Callithrix jacchus: one gene and its partners. The protein of the gene in region 1 interacts with the protein of each later gene in a biochemical or structural test. Links are inferred from orthologs where the notes say so. Each region holds a gene or a part of one and is shown in the gene's direction. Other genes may lie near its edges.

Region 1 (3,999 bases):
GCTGAGATATTGCCCCAGACTATAAGCCTGCCTTCCCACTGAGAAAGCAAGCAGGGCTTTCAGGCCCTATCCATCTACCTGCGACAGCTTCTGTGCTCATATCTACACTTCCCATTTGTCTCCTCCCCCCGCAGATTCTGCTCAGGGAAATTCATGCTTATTTGAAATTATTAACAAAGTTCAGCTGAAAGTCTCCTTCTCCCTGTGATCCTTCCCCCCGTTTCATTGGCTGCCCTCTCCAAAGACCGCTGTGAGATAAAGTCAGAAATGGCTTTTCTGGGGACTGGGAGTGCCTATAGGGCTCTTCCTTCTGCTTTTTCTACTTTTATATTTTGCTTGGCTCTCTAAATTCATTGCAGTTCTCCTTCTCCTATGATCTGGACAGTGAGCATGTGTGCAGAGGTGGACCTCCCCTTCTCACACTGTTTTTTGTTTGTTTGTTTTGAGAGGGAGTCTCACTCTGTCAGCCAGGCTGGAGCAGTGCTACAATCTTGGCTCACTGCGACCTCCGCCTACCGGGTTCAAGCGATTCTCCTGCCTCAATTTCCCAAGTAGCTGGGACTACAGGTGCACACTCATGCCTGGCTGAATTTTTTACTTTTAGTAGAGACAGGATTTCACCATGTTGGCCAGGATGGTCTTGAACTCCTGACCTTAAGTGATCCGCCCACCTTGGCCTCCATTAATTCTGGGATTACAGGTGTGAGCCACCTCTTCCGGCCACCCTCTCACACTTTGGACCTTGAGAGCTCGTTTGGAGGTTCTAGGAGGGGAGTGCAGCTATTCATATACCCTTGACCAAAGACTGGTCCTCTATCGGGATGGTCATTCTCTTCAACCAAGCACGCAGCTTCAGGAGCCCTCTCGCACTTTGGGCACTCAGTTTTTCTGCTGTCTTACAGATTTTGCAGCAGCAAGCTGCTTCTTTCAAAGGATCCGTGAATTCTTTTGTTTTTTTCTGGTACGTTCCTGCAGTAGTTCTTGGAGCCAAAGTTCATGATGTGAGTCTCCACATGCTGTTCCGTCTGTCTGAATGGCAAGTTAGTCCTGCCTCCTACCTGCCACTTTGCCCTTACATCAGTCTCATTTTTGTATAGAAAAAGGTTGAGATATATAGTATATATCACATGCACAAATATAGAACATATGCTAAACATGGTTTACCTAGGTGCTTTAAAATTGTTATCTTTGTTTTGTGGTGTTTTGTCGATTTTTACAAGTATATGTTTTACACTGGGATAGTTGGGAGGTTGGCAAGTTGGAAAAGAGAAAGGAAAATGATAAAAGGGTATAGTAGGAATCAAATGATGTATATAACCTGCTTACCAGCAAATTGACCCTTGGATTATTACGTTAACTGATTTTTCTTACTGAGAATTTAGGGACTTTGTATGGCTTTCATTTCTGATTTTCATGATCCTCTCCTCTTTTTCAGTAACAGTAACAAGTAGCCAGAGTACTCCTGCCAAAGCCCCCAGGGTGAAGTACAATCCATCCATTTCTTCCCCATCATCCGCAGCTTGTGCTCCAAGCTGTGCTGGAGACCTCCCTCTTCCTTCAAATACTCCTACGTTCTCTATTAAAACCCCTCCTGCCAAGGCCCGGTCTCCCATCAACAGAAGAGGTTCTGTCTCCTCTGTCTCTCCCAAGCCACCTTCATCTTTCAAGATGTCAATTAGAAACTGGGTGACCCAAACACCCTCCTCATCACCACCTATCACTCCACCTGCTTCTGAGACCAAGATCATGTCTCCAAGAAAAGCCCTCATTCCCGTTAGCCAGAAATCATCCCAAGCAGAGGCTTGCTCTGAGTCTAGAAACAGAGTGAAGAGGAGGCTAGACTCAAGCTGTCTGGAGAGTGTGAAACAAAAGTGTGTGAAGAGTTGTAACTGTGTGACTGAGCTTGATGGCCAAGTTGAAAATCTTCATCTGGATCTGTGCTGCCTTGCTGGTAACCAGGAAGACCTTAGTAAGGACTCTCTAGGTCCTACCAAATCAAGCAAAATTGAAGGAGCTGGTACAAGTATCTCAGAGCCTCCTTCTCCTGTCAGTCCGTATGCTTCAGAAACCTGTGGAACACTACCGCTTCCTTTGAGACCCTGTGGAGAAGGGTCTGAAATGGTAGGCAAAGAGAACAGTTCCCCAGAGAATAAAAACTGGTTGTTGGCCATGGCAGCCAAACGGAAGGCTGAGAATCCATCTCCACGAAGTCCATCATCTCAGACACCCAATTCCAGGAGGCAGAGTGGAAAGACATCACCAGGCCCGGTAAGTCAGCAGTAGTGGGAAGATACATTTCCTAACTTAAAGGGGGCCAGACACCCATATCTCTCATCAGAATGCTTTAAAAAAAAAAATCTATTTATTCCTAGTACTGCCAAATTTAGCACATATACAAAACAAATTTTGCATGGGACATACTTTTACTAAAAATTTTTTGTGCTAAGAAATTATTTTGTTTGTCTGAAATTAAAATATAACTGGATATGCTGTATTTTATCTGGCAACTCTGTTTATTCCCATTAAAATCCCTCCTGTCAGGGTCCGTACTTCTCAGCCCTGTTGCCTGATTCACTAAAGCCTTCATCATGCTCCAGGATATCAATTCAAAAATATCTCCCCTCTCCTGTTAGACAGTATGCCATCCTCTTTTTATAGATAAAGCTGTTGTTCATGGGAAAGTTGCCAACATCCATAAGTAGATTTCCAGTTTGTAATTACATTTTATAATTATTTAAAATACATTGAAACTTAGATACTTACAAAACAATTTCAGTACAGAATCTTTCTAGATTTTTATGATTTCTCCAATCTTTTATAATCATCTTGCCACACCACAATAATACTTTTGACACCTATATCTATTCTTTTTAACATTCAGTGTAGTGTCACTTATCTTTTTAGGATTCATTTCATTGACTGACTTAATATTTAAATTAGATAATATCAGTATCAGAGATTGCTGCCAGAAATAGGTTTGTGAACCTTGAAAAACAAGATTCATTACAGTGTAGGAGGCAGAAGTAGCTGAGATCATTGGGTGAGCTGTGGGCACCAGTCAGAGGGAATAGAAAGCTTCTATTGTTTGCATGTTAAGAGGAGATGGTTAAGGAACTTTGCACTGTACTTCACAGTAGCTCTTGTTATGAGTTATGGAAGTGGTGTCAAGATGATTGAAATAGAATCCAGAATCATCAGCATCATCTGCCATTTTAAAGGGCAGAAGTTAGATAACATTAGGCCTTCATGAGAGCAGGTGGGAGATATGAACACTTTTATTAAATTTAAAAAGTGTTTATTTTAATTACTCCTGCTCTCATGAAGGTATATCCCATAATTTTAGAAAAAAATAAAGACTGCTTAGTATACAAACTGCAATCAAGACCTTGCTATAGAAAGTGGGGGGGGTGGGAGACAGTTATAAGGAATCTTTCCTTCTCTCAAAATTATGACTGCTCTTTATCGCTAGCCAAAATTTCTATTTTTTTTTCCAAGGGAGCTGGTCTCAGCTATATGTTAGCAGAAAAGTAATTTCAATGAAAAACTATTTTTACTAATATATAAATCTTAAAATCTTTAAAAAGTAGAAATAGTGTACTGGTCTCATAATTTCTTTGAAGCTAACAGTTCTTAAAAATTTTTTACCTTTGTCTATATGATGATAACATCAACTTTCAAAAGAGAATAAACAGCTCCCATTCGAATACCTATCTTGTTTGTAAACTGCAGGGGGCTGATTTATTAATTTATTTCAAAAAGGATAGTAATTGTAACCTCTTTGTTTCTTATTAGAGGACTTAGCTAATAATTGTTTTCTATCCACATAAAAAGTCTATGCCTTCTTTTCCTACATAGCATCTGTTAAGCTTTCACTATAATCAGTACAAGTCAGCCAAAAAAGACATTGCAATTCAAAGTATTTGGAGTTGAGGCCAGGCGCTGTGGCTCACGCCTGTAATCCCAGCACTTTGGGAGGCTGAGGCGGGTGGATCACCTGAG
Region 2 (3,999 bases), on another chromosome or scaffold:
TCTCCTGCCTCAGCCTCCCGAGTAGCTGGGATTACAGGCACACGCCACCATGCCCAGCTAATTTTTTGTATTTTTAGTAGAGACGGGGTTTCACCATGCTGACCAGGATGGTCTCGATCTCTTGACCTCCTGATCCACCCGCCTCGGTCTCCCAAAGTGCTGGGGTTACAGGCTTGAGCCACCGCGCCCGGCCAAGTTTTGTTTTTTTAATCCATTCCACCAATATGTGTATCTTTCTTTTTTTTTTTAACCTTCTTGACCCTTCCATATCTCTTAAGTGGAACATTTAATCCATTTATGTTGAAGGTTAATATTGATATGTGAGGTTTTATCAGGTATATTACTATTAAGTAAGTTTTTGGGAAGGTTTTTTTTTTTTTTGAGACTCAGTCTGTCTCCCAGGGTATAGTGGCGCAATCTTGGCCTACTGCAACCTCTACCCCGGCGTTTAAGTGATTCTCCTGCCTCAGCCTCCCGTGTAGCTGTAATTACAGTCACCCACCCAGCTAATTTTTGTGTTTTTAGTAGAGGTGGGTTTTGCCATGTTGGCCAGACTGGTCTTTGAACTCCTGACCTCAAGTGATCCACCCACCTCAGCTCCCAAAGTGCTAGGATTACAGATGTGAGCCACCATGACTAGTCATGTTTTTGTTTTTTTAAGACAGGGTCTCACTCTGTTGCCCAGGCTGGAGTGCAGTGGTGCAATCATGGCTCACTGCAGCCTCAACCTCCTGGGCTCCAGCAATTCTCCTTCCTCAGCTTCTAGAGTAGCTGGGACCACAGGTATGTGCCATCACACCCAGCTTGTTTATTTTTTGTAGGGACAGTGTCGGGATATGTTGCTCAGGCTGGTCTCTAACTCCTGTCCTTAAGCCATCCTTCCTCTTGGACCTCCCAAAGTGTTGGGATTGCAGGAGAGAGCCACCACACCTGGCCTCATTTACAATTTAAAGAGGCCACTGACTGCTGTGTGGAGAACTGAGTGTTCCCTGAGGTCAGAGTGGAAGCCCGGTGACTAGAGAGGTGCGGTGGCTGGGCTCAGGGCAGCAGTGAGAATGGAGATGGAGAGGAGATGGCAGGGTTTGGGACTGCCCTTGATGTTGCTCATTCACCATGGTTCCCAGCACAGATTGCTGCAAGCTGGTTTGGGCCTCTGTGTAGGGGAATGGGCTGAGCTCAGCAGTTGGTGCTGGGCTCTCGACATGTGCCATCTGGTTTGGTGACAGTCTGTGCTAGCGAGACATGCTGGTTTGGGGGGAGCCACACTGGTTTGGAGCTTCTGGTCTGTCTTCATTTGGTTCCCTTTTGTTTCATAGTGTCTGTGTGATGGCAGAGTAGTGGAACCCAGGGTTAGGGATGGAAGTAGGTACAGGAGGGTTGGCCTTCGAGGAGAGGTGAATCTGGGAGTGCCTCCTCCTCCTGGTTCTCTGTTCGGGGCTGTATTGACCCTCTGGATTGGAGGTCCTCTTTTTATTCATGGTGGTAGCTTCTATACAGGTGAAGCTCAGCGATCCTAAATGGACAGCAGTAGGGGCCGTCAGAATGGAGGGATGTGGACTGCCTGTGTCCCATCCAAAGGGCACAGCCTCTGATCTGCTGTACCTGATTTTCAAACTTGGGCAAGTTGGACATTTTACAACATGCTGCATGGGCAAAGAACATATCTACAAGCCCCATTCTGTTCTTGGGTCCCCACTGTTTCCTTCCTGATCTAGTTGAACCCCAGATCATCCACACAGATGGATGATGAGAAAAGAAGGGATACTTGGGGGCTTTGGCATCACTGGGTACCCATCATCCACAATGATGCCAAATGAGGCCGATGGTGACCCGGTGGGTATGGCCTAGGCAATGAGGGCTCAAGGCCTTCAAGCTACCCACGATGGGCTTGGGAGAGGATGCTGATGCTATTTTTCTTTCTCTCTACCCAGTCTGAAGAAAGGAAAAGAATAGATGAATTGATTGAAAGTGGGAAGGAAGAAGGAATGAAGGTAAGGGGCTGCTGTGCTGGCTGCATCATGGCTAAAGCTGGAAGACTCGCCTTCCCTGGTCCCTCGGCTGAGAGTGGCCACCACGTGGCTTTAACCCTCTAATGGCCATGGGGACCAGTCAGACTCTTACTAGGTTGTGAAAGAGCCAAACACTAAAACTCATTAAGGAAAAACCTTATGAAGGAAACATAAATGGGCCTTGTATATAAATGTTATTTAGGGGAAACTTTTCTTAGAAATTGTGGTTAAACAATTTAGTGGCTTTTTGTACATTCACAATGCAATGCAACCACCATCCCTGTCAAATTTCAGAACTTTTTCATCCTCCCATTACTGCCCACCATCCCCGAATCTCCCTCGCCCATCCCCTGGCAGCCACTCAGCTGCTTTCTGTCTCTGTGGAGTTGCTCTTCTGGACACTTTATATAAATGGGACTATACAATGTGTAGCTGAAGCCTGGGGAAACTTTTAAAAGGAGAAACTAATAAATTTTTAAACTCTGTTTTCCTAGATAATGACAATGCCCAAGAAATGTGCTTTTCTCTTACTGCATTTCAAGCATACCCAGTTTGGGTGAGAGGAAAGGAACTCTCTACAGTGGGGCTCAGATAGGCCTGGATTAGGGCTTAGGGCTCAGAAACCTTCCACTTCCACCCACCACTTAGGGGGACCCCCGCTTAAGTCCTGGACCCCTCCAGCAACCCCCTCTGACTCCATGTAGAATAGAATGAGGAGACACAGGAGAGAAATCGTGGAGCGAGGCACAGACCCAGAACACTGGGCCTGCTGTTCACCTAGGAAGGCATAGAGCACAGCCCCTAGGCAGAGAAACCAAGTGTGGATTTGAGTCCCTGCTATGTCACTGCCTAGCTGTGGGGCCTCAGACACGTGGCTCTGCCCCTCTAAGCCTCAGTTTCCTCATCTACAAAATGAGGCAGTCTCCATCCAGCAGATCTCTCATGAGCTCTGATGTAACAGTGCTTTGCAGATGAGTACCAAGGAACCAAGTCTGTGGGGTGACAGAAATGTTCTAGAGCTGGATTGTAGTGACAGTTGCACAGCTATGTACCCATCTCAAACAGCCCATCAACCTGTACGTGTAAAGCAAGTGAGTTTTATGGTACAGCTCAGTACAGCTGTGAAAGACTGGTATCAGCCCTCAGCTCTCCAGAGGCCTGCTGTGCGTGGTGGCATCCATTGCTGTTATGAGCCAACAGCCTCTCTTATCACCTCCTGACAGATTGACCTCATCGATGGCAAAGGCAGGGGTGTGATTGCCACAAAGCAGTTCTCTCGGGGTGACTTTGTGGTGGAATACCACGGGGACCTCATTGAGATCACTGACGCTAAGAAGCGGGAGGCTCTGTACGCACAGGACCCTTCCACGGGCTGCTACATGTACTATTTTCAGTATCTGAGCAAAACCTACTGGTAAGTCTACTGTTGCTTTGAGTGGCTTTTCTGTCTTCTGGGCAGTGAGGAGAGCCCAAAGGGCCAGGAACTCCTGATTCTGTATGGTATTTTACTTAGTAGAGATGGGGTTTTGTCATGTTGGCCAGCCTGGTCTTGAACTCCTGATCTCAGATGATCCAACCACCTTGGCCTTCCACTTGGCCTTCCAACCCAAAGTGCTAGGGTTACAGGTGTGAGCCACCGTGCCCAGCCTATTGCCTTTTTTCAAAGCTGTGATGTAACTATCCTGTGCTTTCCTTGTTTTTTTTCTTCGAATCTTGCTCTGTCGCCCAGGCTGGAGTGTAGTGGCGTGATCTTGGCTCACAACAACCTCCACCTCCTGGGTTCAATCGATTCTTCTGCCTCATCCTCCTGGGTAGCTAGGATTACAGGTGCCCACAACTATTCCCAGCTAATTTTTGTATTTTTAGTAGAGACGGGTTTCTTCATGTTGGCCAGGCTGGTATTCCTGACTTCAGATGATCCACCAACCTCAGCCTCCCAAAGTGCTGGGATTACAGGCGTGAGCCATTGTGCCTGGTCCCAGCTTCCCTT
Region 3 (3,220 bases), on another chromosome or scaffold:
TATCATATTATCCTCATCTGTTTGCTTGACTTTTTGTTTTGTTTTTTGGAGACAGGATCTCACTCTAGCTCATGCTGGAGTGCAGTGGCTCAATCATATCTCACTGCAGCTTCGACCTCCTGGGCTCAAGTGATCCTTCTGCCTCAGCCTCCCTGAGTAGCTGGGCCTACAGCCATGCACCACCATGCTTGGCTAATTTTTTTGGAATTTTAGTAGAGATGAGATATTGATATGTTGCCCAGTCTGGTCTTGAACTCCTGGGCTCACAGGTCTTCCTGCTTTGACCTCCCAAAGTACTGGAATATAGGCATGAGCCACGGTGCCTGGCCTATTCTCATCTGTTGTTGGGCACCTAGGCCAATTCTGTATTTTGGCTATTGTGAATAGGCATGCAAAGGTCTCTTCCATATAATTTCCTTTCCTTTGGATAACATCTCAATAGTGGGTTTGCTGGATCTTACAGGTAGTTTTATTTGTAGATTTGGAAGAACTTCCATTCTGTTCTTCATAGTGGGTATACTATATGGCTTAACCTTATTTTTGTTGCTTTAGGTTACTATATCAACAACTGATAGGAGAAACAATAAACTCATTTTCAAAGTGAATTTGTTAGAAATGGATGATAAGATACTGGTTGACTTCCGGCTTTCTAAGGTAATTTTATGTTTTATTTTAGTATTTTTCTATGGAAATATTTCTATGTGACTTTTTAAATGCCATTATGTTTGTATATATGTGGCATTTGTAAATAGAATGTAACTTTTTCATTTAGAGCATGTGCTTTTGTTAATCTATTTTTCCCAAACATTGTTTTTTCAACCGACATTTTCCTTATTATAGAAGTTTTTGCTAAGCACGGTGGCTCACACCTGTAATCCCAGCACTTTGGGAGGCCAAGGCAGGTGGATCACAAGGTCAGGACTTTGAGACCAGCCTGGCCAACATAGTAAAACTAAAAATACAAAAAATTAGCCAGGCATGGTGGCGGGTACCTGTAATCCCAGCTACTCGGGAGACTGAGGCAGGAAAATCGCTTTTACCCGGTAGTTGGAGGTTGCAGTGAGCCGAGATTGCATCATTGGACTCCAGCCTGGGCAACATTATGATACTTTATCTCAAAAAAAAAAGTTTATGCTTTTGTGAAAAATGTAGATAAGCAAAAAATGGTAAAATAAAAATAATTCTAAATTTTCCTGCCCAGCAGTAATCACCTTTAAGATTTAGAAGCATTTTAATATTTTTCTTAATTTATCTTTTAATAAAAATTATGATTTGTTTAAAAATATTTCATTATATAATAAACCTTTACATGTTATAATACTTCTGTGATTGATACATTATGCATAGATTTTTTGTTCATATTTGTGATTTCTTTAGGAATTATTAATTTTAAAGTTATAGTTTTATAGCCCTTAATATATAAATCCAAAGTAACATTTTTTCCATTTTCCGAGAGATTGTATGTGTCTCTAAAAGGGGTTGGAGGGGTAGCTGCTGTGTTAGAGCATTTGCTGCAGTACTCCTTGTATTAGAGATTTGCTGCAATACTGTTTTTCAGATGCTTACTATGGAATTAAATTATTAAGATCGTAGTATAATGAAATTCGTCTCATAACTAAATCTGTTGGTTTTATTGCAATAGTGTTATGACAAGATTTCAGTTTAGTTGTATAGCTTATTGTTAGTTTCCAAAGCCTACTGCCTATGCAATGTAATGACATAGGTCCAGATATACCAACACATGAAACAGAGAGGATGCCATTTTATCTGCTCTCTGAGCTCAGTGCAGTAGAAACAGTGATGGGCATGAAACTACATCAGAATTATTATCTCTGCCAGGATATTTGGTCTTGATAAACTGGCCTAAAAGGAAATTTTAGCTAGACATATATGTAAGGATGTTTGTCTCTTATTACCACTAAAAAGAGATTGATTTTAGGGCATAATCTTGTTTTTGTTTTTATTTTGACATTATTTTTGAATACTATTTCTAATATAGGGTGATGGATTGGAATTCAAGAGACACTTCCTGAAGATTAAAGGGAAGCTGATTGATATTGTGAGCAGCCAGAAGGTTTGGCTTCCTGCCACATGATCCGACATTGGCTCTGGGGAATCCTGGTGAATATAGTGCTGCTATATTGACATTATTCTTCCTAGAGAAGGTTAACCTATTCTGCAAACTGCAAACAATAGTTCCTGAAGTATTCACTTCCCTCTTTATCCAAACATCTTCCAATTCATTTTGTTTATTCTGCATACAAATAATACCTATATCTTAATTGTAAGGAAAACTTTGGGGAAAGGATGAATAGAATTCATTAGATTATTTCTTCATGTGTATTTACTATCTGAATTTGAAATTCATCTGGTGGAAACCAAGTTTCAGGGGACATGAATTTTCCAGCTTTTATATACACATTTCCCATTTTTATCAAAACATTTTGTTTAATCCAAAAAGTACATATTTCTTCCATGTTGACTTAATTATAAGATGAACCAATAAAGATATAAACCTTGTGACTTTTGGACAGTAGATTTATCAGTCTGTGAATTGAGGCTAGCTTCAAAACATATATCCCCAAGATTTGTACTTATATTTTCAAAAGGGCCTGGTCAGTTATGTATTCCTGTTTTTGAATTATAATGATTAATTAAAATTGCAAGTAGGTGTGTTTTCCAGTATAGTTAGTAAAATACTGGTTGGCCTTTCAAGGAGAAGTGGAGCATGAACTAGTGCTTAACCAACTTTACTCTAAAAATTACTGTGAGCATCTTAAATATTTTTCTGTATTTTCTACTTTCACAGCCATATTTTATCTAACTTTTTGAACTTACTTGTGACCAAGCTTTTAGGTGATAAAGAATAAAAGAGGGAAGGGAAGAGTAAGGAAGCTATAAGAAAAATAGATCTGATTCATTGTTCCTTTACCTATGACTTACAAAACCTTTCTTTTTCTAATAAAATTTGTATTAATTTTGGAGCATATTAGGTTGAGGCCTTGGCTCCTGCCTGTAGTCCCAGCTACTTAGGAGGATAAGAGAGGAGGATTGCAGGAGCCTAGAAATTTGAGGCTATAGTGAGCTATGATTGCATCACGGCAATCCAGCTTGGATGACAAAGTGAGACCCTGCCTCTAATAGAAATTTTTAAAATTGTAAAAAAGTATAAAATTAATTAGTTATTTTAATCTGAAGCCAAGAACATGTAGAATGTTAT
Region 4 (4,761 bases), on another chromosome or scaffold:
ATATTGGAGTTTTGGAGTTATTCTGTGTCTATCCCCATTATCAATCTATCAATAGTTAATCTGAAAATAATTCCATTTAGTATGAGTGCAATCTAATCATTGAACATTCAGCTACTCCAAGCTTTACACAGACAAAAACAAAGACTTACCATCGGACTATTTTGACAGGATCTTTCTTAGGCATGATCTGATTAAGCCATGGTTCAATACCTGGAAATTGCTCTATCAACTGATTCTTAATACCCTTAATAACTGAGGTTTTCAACTGGATGCAGTTGGACACATTTTCTTTTTCATCAAATCTGCCAAGTAATTTTTGCAAGAAAAGAAAAAGGGATTTCTAAGTAGAGGTATCATAATACCTAAAGGTATTGTTCTGATTAGTATTCCCAAGCAAGTATTTAGATACTTAAAATAATTATGAAATAAGTTGTTTTTTTAAAAAAAAATACCACCTCCCTTTTACTCTGTCCAGCACAAAACTAATGTCTTAATACAATATTGAAATTAACTGTCAAGTATACAGCAATTAGCTGGGGTTGGGGAGAGGAATATAAGACACACTTTGCACCATAATCTCTAATTAGCTACACAAATGCCTTTCCTGGAAAATCTTATTCAATTCTACCCAGGAAAAACACGGGCTCCCACCAATAATAAAACCTGTGATCAAAAAACAAAACCCTCAATTGATACAAAAGACCAACCCAAGCATAACATAGAAAATCGGCCCCTGCTAGGCTATGCAGTCTGCTGAGACTTTTTTTAAAGTGATGATTTATAAGATCCCTATTTATTTTTGCTCAAAATTTCATGCAAAAAACCCACCTTCCTTTGCCCATGTTCCCCCTTTGCTTTTTGCGTCTACCAAACCTGGAAGGCAAACCCACTAGTAGGTTCCCAAGGAATTTTTGTCTTCCTTACACTGAATAGCTTATGGGGCAATCACGTTATTTTCAAGGCAAGGTTAATCTGGCAGCTAGGCAATAGGCATGACAGGCCGCTTGCTTCCTGTCACCCAGACTCCTTCACTCCCATGACCCAGGAAGTCAAGCCTTCCTTTATTCAGTTCATAACTAATAAACATATGGCAGTGAGCGCAGGGCTCCCCTCTCAGCTAAAGAGGATATGCCCCTAAATCACAGTGCACGGATGTGATTGGTAGAACCCTAGGAATGGAGACGGAATCGGGGGAGGGGGCAAAAGAGAAAGAGGGATAAGGAGAAAAAACAATGGGAGTGAAGGGAACGAAACCCGATTGAGGACTACGGATGGAAAGCTTAAAGAAGTGTTCAAGTTGCGAGTTAGAGCATAGTACTATAGAAAACCTTAGGGAGTCAGGATGGCAGGGGCGGGGGAGAGAGAAAGCGGATCTTAGCTCTCGCCCTCTTCCCCACCCCCACCCCACCGCCTTTGTGAGCAGCCGATGGAGGCCACAGCATGTCCTTACTTCTTGAACATGATCCAACGTGAAGGGGGCGACGATAGGGAAGGGCCCGGAATGGGAACGAAATTGAATTTGCAAGGGTCCGGCAGATCCCTTTACACGAGGAAGGCCGGCACTGACAGTCGGAGGTGTAGTCGTTATCCGGAAAACGAGAGCCAGCCGCGCTTTACGGCTCTCAGTCAAATCTGACTACTTCCGCTCCTCTGGCCTCCACGTAGGCGCTTTTGCCGGCTCCTTTTAAGCAACCGGTTCCTCTGCAGTTGGAGGTAGCTGAAAGGGCGGGACTTGAGAGGGAAGAAGTGATAGAACAATTGCAGGAAAAGAAGAATGGAGGGGGCGGGGAAATCAATCAAAGTAGCATTTAAGGCACTTGCGTCTGTTACGGGTTCCTCAAAGGGTCAAGTTTCTTCCGTGCTTCGTTGCTACCTACCGTCACACTAAAAGATTCTTTTTTTAGGGAGAATGGCTTTTGTTCCGTCTGAGGCAACTGAATGGATTGGTGCTTACCTACCAGCATGAATCCAGACAAACCTCATAGCTTCATGTTAAAGTGCTGGTAGGATTGCCAGGTTTGACAAATGAAAATATAGGATGCCTACTTAATTTGAATTTCAGGTAAACAATGAATACTTGTTTTAGTGTAAGTATACCTCAACAATATTTTGGACATACTTACACTAAAAATATACAGTCCTCGTTTAGCTGAATTTAATTGCGCGTCCTGTTTTTTATCTGGTAACCCTTATTCACTGGCAACCATACGATGCCCCCATAGTTTTTTGTGGGTTTTTATTGAGACAGGGCCTCACTCTGCTGCCCAGGCTTGAATGCAGTGGTGCTGTCTTGGCTTACTGCAGTCTTGACTTCCTGGGCTCAAGGGATCCTTCCACTTCAGCCTCCCAAATACCGTGGACTACAGGCACACGCCACCATGCCCGTTTTTTGTTTTTTATTTTTATTTTTTGGTAGAGACAGGGTCTACGTTGACCAGGCTGGTTGCAAACTCCTGGGCTCAAGCAATCCTCCTGACTTGGCATCCCAAAGTGCTGGGGTTACAGGCGTCAATGACTGCCCTCCTGTAGAATAATTCCCAAAGAATTATTACAGAAGGTAATCTGATTAAAGAGATAAATAACTAAAGATACATGTTTTACTTATGTAATTTTTTAAAAAGAAAGCTGATAGAGAATATTTTGCCAGTCAAGGATTTTACTTTGTTTTTGGTTTTAGACACAGCATCTTACTACTCGACCCAACCTGGAGTGCAGTGGCATGATCATGTTTCATTGTAGCCACAACTTCCCAGTCTCAAGTGACCCTCCAGCCTCGGCCTCCCGAGTACAGGCATGCACCACCACAGGGCTGGTGGGAAGAACCCCTTATAAAACTACCCGATCTCGTAAGCACTCACTCACTATCATAAGAACAGCATACGGAAAACCACTTCCACCATCCAATCACCTCCCACCAAGTCTCTCCCCAGATATGTGGGGATTATGGGGATTACAATTCAAGATGAGATTTGGGTGGGAAAAAAATCCAAACCATAAAAGTCACCCTATTGCCCTATTGCACTGTCAAATAGAAGATCTCTTTTTTTTTTGAGACAGAGTTTCACTCTTGTTACCCAGGCTGGAGTGCAATGGCGCGATCTCGGCTCACAGAAACCTATGCCTCCTGGGTTCAGGCAATTCTGCCTCGGCCTCCTGAGTAGCTGGGATTACAGGCACGCGCCACCACGCCCGGCTAATTTTTTGTATTTTTAGTAGAGACGGGGTTTCACCATGTTGACCAGGATGGTCTCGATCTCTTGACCTAGTGATCCACCCTCCTCGGCCTCCCAAAGTGCTGGGATTACAGGCTTGAGCCACTGCGCCCAGCCCTAGAAGATCTTACTCATTCTATTTTTTTGTACCCATTACCCAACCCCACTTCTACTACCCAATCCCCCACTATCCTTCCCAGCATCTGGTAACCTTCTATTCTCTGTGTCCATGAGTTCAATTGTTCTGATATTTATATCCCACAAATAAGTAAGGACATGTGATGTTACTCTTTCAGGGCCTGCGTTATTTCACTTAACATAGTGATCTCCAGTTCCATCCATATTATTGCAAATGACAGGATCTCATTTTTTTTTTTTTTTGGCCAAATAGTACTCCATTGTGTATATGTACCACAGTTTCTTTATTCAAACATCTGTTGATGGATACTTAGGTTACTTCCAAATCTTAGCTGTTGTAAACGCTGCTGCAAGAAACGTAGGTGTGCAGATATCTCTCTGATAAACTCATTTCCTTTCTTTTGGGTATATACCCAGCAGTAGGATTGCTGGATCATATGGTAGCTCAATTTTAGTTTTCTGAGGAACCTCGAAACTGTGCTCCATAGTGGTTATACTAATTTACTTTCTCACCAACAGTGTACAAGTATTCCCTTTTGTCCACATCCTCACCAACATTTGTTATTGCCTGTCTTTTGGATATAAGTCATTTTAACTGGGGTGAGATGATATCTTGTAGTTTTAATTTGAATTTCTCTGATGATCAGTGATGCTAAGTACCTTTTCATATGCCTATTTGCCATTCGTGTCTTCTTTTGAGAAATGTCTATTCAAATATTTTGTCAATTTCTTGATCATATTATTATATTTTTGCCTATAGAGTTGTTTGAACTCCTTATGTATATATTCTGATTATTATTCCCTGGTCAGAGGGGTAGTTTGCAAATATTTTCTCCCATTCCGTGGGTTGTCTCTTCCCTTCGGTGATTGTATCCTTTGCTGTGCAGAAGCTTTTTAACTTTATGCAATCAAGTTTGCCCATGTTTGCTTTGGTTGTCTGTACTTGTTGGATATTGCTCAAGAAGTCATTGCCCAGACCAATGTCATGGAAGTTTTCCTCAATGTTTTCTTGCAGTAGTTTCACAGTTTGAGGTCTTCGATTTAAATCTTTAATCCATTTTATTTATTTATTTATTCTTTTTCTTTTTTCTTTTTAAAGATGGGATTTCACCATGTTGGTCAGGCTGGTCTCGAATTTCTGACCTCTAGTGATCCGCCCACCTTGGCCTCCCAAAGTGCTGAGATTACAGGTGTGAGCCACCACGCCTGGCCCTAATCCATTTTAAATTGACTTTTTTATACATCAAGAGATAGGGGTTTGGTTTCATTCTTTTGCATATGGATATGAAGTTTTCCCAGCACCATTTATTGAAGATACTATATTTCCCCACTATGTGTTCTTGGCAACTTTGTCAAAAAATGAGTTTGCTATAGGTGTGTGAATTTATTTCTGGGTTCTCTATTCTCTTCC
Region 5 (4,475 bases), on another chromosome or scaffold:
ATAAATAAAAATCCATATATAATAAAAAATGATGTGCAAAGAATTATTTCATTGTGAAGCCCAATACTACAAAACTTTATAATTCATTACAAACCTTTATTAAAAAAAAAAAAAAAAAAAAGGCTTGGGGCATGCCTGGGCAGAGATTTCCAGACTGAGCAGCCTGAGATGTCAGTAATTGCAGCTGCTCCAAGCCTGGCTCCTATTTTTTAGTGGGATTTATTTTCAGATTAACAATCCATCCTCTGCAATTTTTCAAAGCAAAACTGCACATGTTTCAGGCACATAAAGGAGGCAAAGATGAAGTCCAAGGGAGGTCAGAGGTATGGGGTAGACGGGAGCAGATAGACACGTTACTCATTTCTGTGTCTGGCAGAAGCACCAGTAGACACTTCCAGAATTATCCTTTATTTATGTCATTTCCATAAACTGTCTGCAAATGAGGGTTATTGGGTATTTTTGTCATTCTGGAGCCACAGAAATAAAGGGTGACAAGCACAGAGCCTTGGGCAGGAGGCAAAAGTCCTGTGTTCCCACCATAGTCATTTCTTTGCTGCATAATCTGAGTCAGGTCACTAAACTCTTCTGAGCCTCAGTTTCCCCAGCAGTGTATATGGGCCCTGTGGGGAGTATTTAGGAGACAGACAACTCACTCATCAAATCCTCTGCTTCCTAGCCAACAAAGCTGCAATCACAGAGTTCTTCTGTTGAGGTGAGTGTACGGTGTACGGAGATTGGTTCAATGTCCAATTCCTCCTCGGTTTTCTGATAGTGTCTCCAATTCCCTCCTTCCCGGAAGCATGTGACAATCAACATCTTTGTATACTTAAGTTCAGTGGACCTTCAGTTGCCTCATCTGTGAAATAAAGGGGACTGAAAAATCATTCTGGCCTCAAGATGTTTTGTTGGGGTGTCTAGGTGCCTCAGGTGTGTCTGGGAGAGGTGACCTAATGAGGGATCAATGGGAATAGAGGTGGTATCGTGGGGCTTTTCTGGAAATTGCAGAGAGGCGCATCGTTTTTATTATTTATGGATTTTTATTTACGACTGTCATCCTCCTGATCTTTTCAGCTGCATTGGGTAAATCCTTGCCTGCCATAGTGGGTCAGCGGTGGGCCAGAAAGGGGGCTCATTCGAACAGCGCCCTCCTGGGGAGTGCCAAGTCATTCTCCAACTAAAAAAGGCCAAATTTGAGGCTCACTTTGTGGGAAAAATGTGTCCAGTGTACCGACGCACGTTAGAGACAACGGGAGGAGGGAAGCGCCCTCCTGCAGCACGCGAGGTTCCGGGACCGTCTGGGGCTGCTGGAACTCTGCCAGGCTCAGCTGGCTCGGCGCTGGGCAGCCAGGGCCCCGGGCCTGGGGGAGGGCCGTCCAGGGGCGGCGCGGTAGGACGAGCGCGGGTCCCGCCCCTCCTGGGGGTAGGTTATATTTGCGCCCGCAGAGCGGCACCAGTTGAGGTGTGAGCAGCTGCGGGAGTCAGTTCCTTGTGGGGTCAGAGCTGAGCGCGGATTCGCCGAGGCACCGAGGCACTCAGAGGAGGTGAGGGAGCGGCGGCAGCCAACAGGGGACCCCAGGCCGCCGGCCCAGAGCCGAGCCGAGCGAGCCTGCCTGTGTCCGTGGGTGTCGCGGGGATGCGTGTCCGCGGGTGTGCGCTGCGTTCACAGGTGTTTCTGAGGCAGGTGAATGACGGGCGTGGGTCTGTGCCTGCTCGGCTTCCGCATACGGTGTCTGTAAAGTGCTCGGGTGACGGGGATCGGGATGTGCCGGAGACTCCGGGCGGAGAGCGGGATTACAAGTACAGGGATCCCGGGCCACGCTCCCCGCCCCTAGAAACCCAGCTGGGGCGAGGGAGGGCGTAGACGGGGCCGCTCTGGGAGCTCGCCTTCCGCAGCGGTGGGCTCCAAGCCCCAGGTGCAGTTTGCTCCTGGCGTGGGAATGAAGTCCGTGTCCCTGGAGGGGTCCAGGAGGGGCGAGGAAAGCGGAGTGGAGTAAGTTCGTCTGGGATCGGTCCCGGGCGGTTTTCGGAACCAAGCGGCGCCGCCCTGGCTCACGTCCCGGGGTTCAGGTCCTCTACGCCACTGTGTCCACCACCTGGCTGGGCGCTGAGGTAAGTGCGAGCAGTTTCCTGGCCCTTGGGAATGTGCCAGGACACGTCCCCTAAGGACAAGCGAGGAGCTGACTCATTGTGACAAGGAGACCCCAGGGAACGGACTGTATAAGGTCAGAACTTCGCCCGGGCTGGGGTACAGTGGGAACCCAGAAGCCCCCTCCCTGTCCCTTCAGGTCTCGCCCTCCCATCAGCACAGTGACCAATTTGGCTGGCACAGCGTGTTCCCAGGGAAGCCGGGCACTGGAGGTCCAGGTCGCCGCGTCTGATCCCCGCTCCGCGGCGCGCCCTAGGGGCCGGGGAGTCAACGCCCTGCGCTGGGCGGGCTCTAACCAGCCTGTCAGTCGAGGAAGGGCAGGGGTCTTCTCTACCTCTTTACCACCGCGGCCGGGAGAACCACGGCCCAGCTTGTCCTCGAGTCGGGGCGCTGGACTCCCGGGCAAGAGCGGAGCCTACGCCTGAGTGGGAGGTGGGGAGAGATCCTGTCTTTGCGGCGTTGGTGGCGTTTCTGGGGGGCACGACACTGCTCAGGGCCTCCATCAGCTGCCGCGGGGGCTCGGGGTGCCCCGACCTAGCCCAGATTCCCTCTCCGAAAGCGACAAGACTGAGCGGAGCAGCGGGGTGAGCGCCGCCGCCGGGCGCGGACCACGGCACGTCCTCTCAGTCCGGAATCCCCGGGGGACACTTGCGCCCTCTTAGTGCAGAAAAACATCTAGGGGATGGGTTTGGAACTTGGGGCGCCTAGACAGCTTCCCGTCTCCTTCCCTCGCTCCACGTCGTGTTTTTGGGAGAACTTCCGAGAGATTTTGTTTTCGTTGCTCCCGTCTATTTTTATTTTCCAGGGATCTGACTCATCCCGTGCTTTGGGCGTGGAGATAAGGTGGAGGGGCCAGCTCTCGGCGCGCGCGCGCGTGTGTGTGTGTGTGTGTGCGCGCCCGCGCGCCCGTGTGTCTGTGTCAGAGACGGCGCAGGAGCGCGCGGTTTCGCAACAGCGGCGGGAGTTTTGGAAGCCTGGCCTGCCCAGCGTGACGTGTTCGCGGCCCTCCGGTCCCCTCCCATTCTCCCTCTCCCCACCCCAGTGTGACGCGCAGCCGGAGTGGAAGCGGAGTTTTGGCGGGGGCGGGCAGCGCCTTGCGGGAAACTGACTCATCGCTACTCCCCCGCTGTCCAATGCTCTGCCCACGTACCTCCCACCCCGCGCGTGATTTCCTGGAGGCCGGCGCCCCCTCCCGGCCCTGGTGAGAATGGCACACCCGCTTTCCCGCGGAGTGGGGCTGGCAGGCGGGAACCACCGCGGGTACTCCGGGCTCATCTGAGATCAACCCCTATGCCATTCACCGCTCCTTCAAAGGAACACTCCTTAGGTTCAACAGTATTTATTGAGCTCTTACTGGAAATTAAAGTATGACTGAAGTCTAAGGCAGGAAGGCCAACAAAGGAGGCTATTCTCAGTTATTTGTAGAACAAGGGTTTGCGTTTCTGAGTTTTCTTTGGGCTGAAAGTTATGACAATGCGCCTGAGAGCAGATTTAGATGGGGGAGGAGAGGCCTATGAGAGCCCTAAGGGAAGGGGTGGTAGAAGAGGAAAGGGTGCCTGCCTAGATCCTAGTCTTATCCTGAGCTCCTGAGAGCCAGGGAATATCCTTGATGGAGCCCTTCCTTGTGCCTCTGATGTATTGAGACCCAGAATGTCCATTTCAAACACACCAGTGTCCCCCTTGTCTGATACCCCAAGAGTGCCCATCTGAGGAACTGTGCTGAACACTTGCTTAAATCTTCAAACACCTACTTAAATCTTCAATCTGGATTAAGTTGGTCTCAAGAGGCAGGGCCTTGAAAAAGCTCCCTAAGTGATTTTTTTTTTTTTTTGAGACAGGGTCTCACTCTGTTACCCAGGCTGGAGTGCAATGGCACCATCCTAGACTCAAGCAATCTTCCTGTTTCAGCCTTTCAAGAAGCTGGGACCATAGTCGTGAGCCCCCATGCCCAGCTAATTTTTTTTTTTTTTTTTTGAGACAGAATCTCACTCTGTCACCCAGGCTGGAGTGCAGTGGCGTGATCTCAGCTCATTGCAACCTCCACCTCTTGGGTTCAAGCAATTCTCCTGCCTCAGCCTCCTGAGTAGCTGGAACTACAGGTGTGCACCACCACGCCCAGCTAGTTTTTATAATTTTAGGAGAGATAGGGTTTTTGCCGTGTTGGCCAGGCTGGTCTTGAACTCCTGACTTCAAGTGATCTGCCTGCCGCAGCGTCCCAAAGTTCTGCGATTGTAGACGTGAGCCACTGCGCCCAGCCCACCAGCTAATTTTTATTTTTAGTAGAGATAGGGTCTCTCTGTGTTGCTCAGGCTGGTCTTGAACCCCTGGG

Evidence for each region.
Region 2: the proteins of DTL (region 1) and KMT5A form a complex in vitro, tested with the Homo sapiens proteins (2 studies listed by BioGRID, with this or other methods). The link is inferred for Callithrix jacchus from reciprocal best matches to the Homo sapiens genes DTL and KMT5A.
Region 3: of the proteins of DTL (region 1) and CHEK1, one has a biochemical effect on the other in vitro, tested with the Homo sapiens proteins (2 studies listed by BioGRID). The link is inferred for Callithrix jacchus from reciprocal best matches to the Homo sapiens genes DTL and CHEK1.
Region 4: the proteins of DTL (region 1) and CUL4B form a complex in vitro, tested with the Homo sapiens proteins (2 studies listed by BioGRID). The link is inferred for Callithrix jacchus from reciprocal best matches to the Homo sapiens genes DTL and CUL4B.
Region 5: of the proteins of DTL (region 1) and CDKN1A, one has a biochemical effect on the other in vitro, tested with the Homo sapiens proteins (3 studies listed by BioGRID, with this or other methods). The link is inferred for Callithrix jacchus from reciprocal best matches to the Homo sapiens genes DTL and CDKN1A.

Annotation. Positions count from the first base shown.
Region 1 is NC_133520.1:17,234,697-17,238,695, forward strand, and holds part of DTL (denticleless protein homolog), read left to right. Parts: intron 1-1,435; coding exon 1,436-2,268; intron 2,269-3,999. UniProt on the Homo sapiens protein: Substrate-specific adapter of a DCX (DDB1-CUL4-X-box) E3 ubiquitin-protein ligase complex required for cell cycle control, DNA damage response and translesion DNA synthesis.
Region 2 is NC_133510.1:126,589,608-126,593,606, forward strand, and holds part of KMT5A (N-lysine methyltransferase KMT5A), read left to right. Parts: intron 1-1,931; coding exon 1,932-1,991; intron 1,992-3,232; coding exon 3,233-3,423; intron 3,424-3,999. UniProt on the Homo sapiens protein: Protein-lysine N-methyltransferase that monomethylates both histones and non-histone proteins. Specifically monomethylates 'Lys-20' of histone H4 (H4K20me1).
Region 3 is NC_133511.1:25,261,058-25,264,277, forward strand, and holds the end of CHEK1 (serine/threonine-protein kinase Chk1), read left to right. Parts: intron 1-552; coding exon 553-654; intron 655-1,999; coding exon 2,000-2,095; 3' UTR 2,096-2,538; downstream 2,539-3,220. UniProt on the Homo sapiens protein: Serine/threonine-protein kinase which is required for checkpoint-mediated cell cycle arrest and activation of DNA repair in response to the presence of DNA damage or unreplicated DNA.
Region 4 is NC_133524.1:116,476,525-116,481,285, reverse strand, and holds the start of CUL4B (cullin-4B), read left to right. Parts: upstream 1-1,634; 5' UTR 1,635-1,713; exon of another isoform or gene 1,714-2,299; coding exon of another isoform or gene 2,300-2,484; exon of another isoform or gene 2,485-2,523; intron 2,524-4,761. Other genes in the region: MCTS1 (malignant T-cell-amplified sequence 1), read right to left, coding at 150-302, 2,300-2,484.
Region 5 is NC_133505.1:44,980,750-44,985,224, forward strand, and holds the start of CDKN1A (cyclin-dependent kinase inhibitor 1), read left to right. Parts: upstream 1-1,426; 5' UTR 1,427-1,541; intron 1,542-1,681; exon of another isoform or gene 1,682-3,347; intron 3,348-4,475. UniProt on the Homo sapiens protein: Plays an important role in controlling cell cycle progression and DNA damage-induced G2 arrest. Involved in p53/TP53 mediated inhibition of cellular proliferation in response to DNA damage.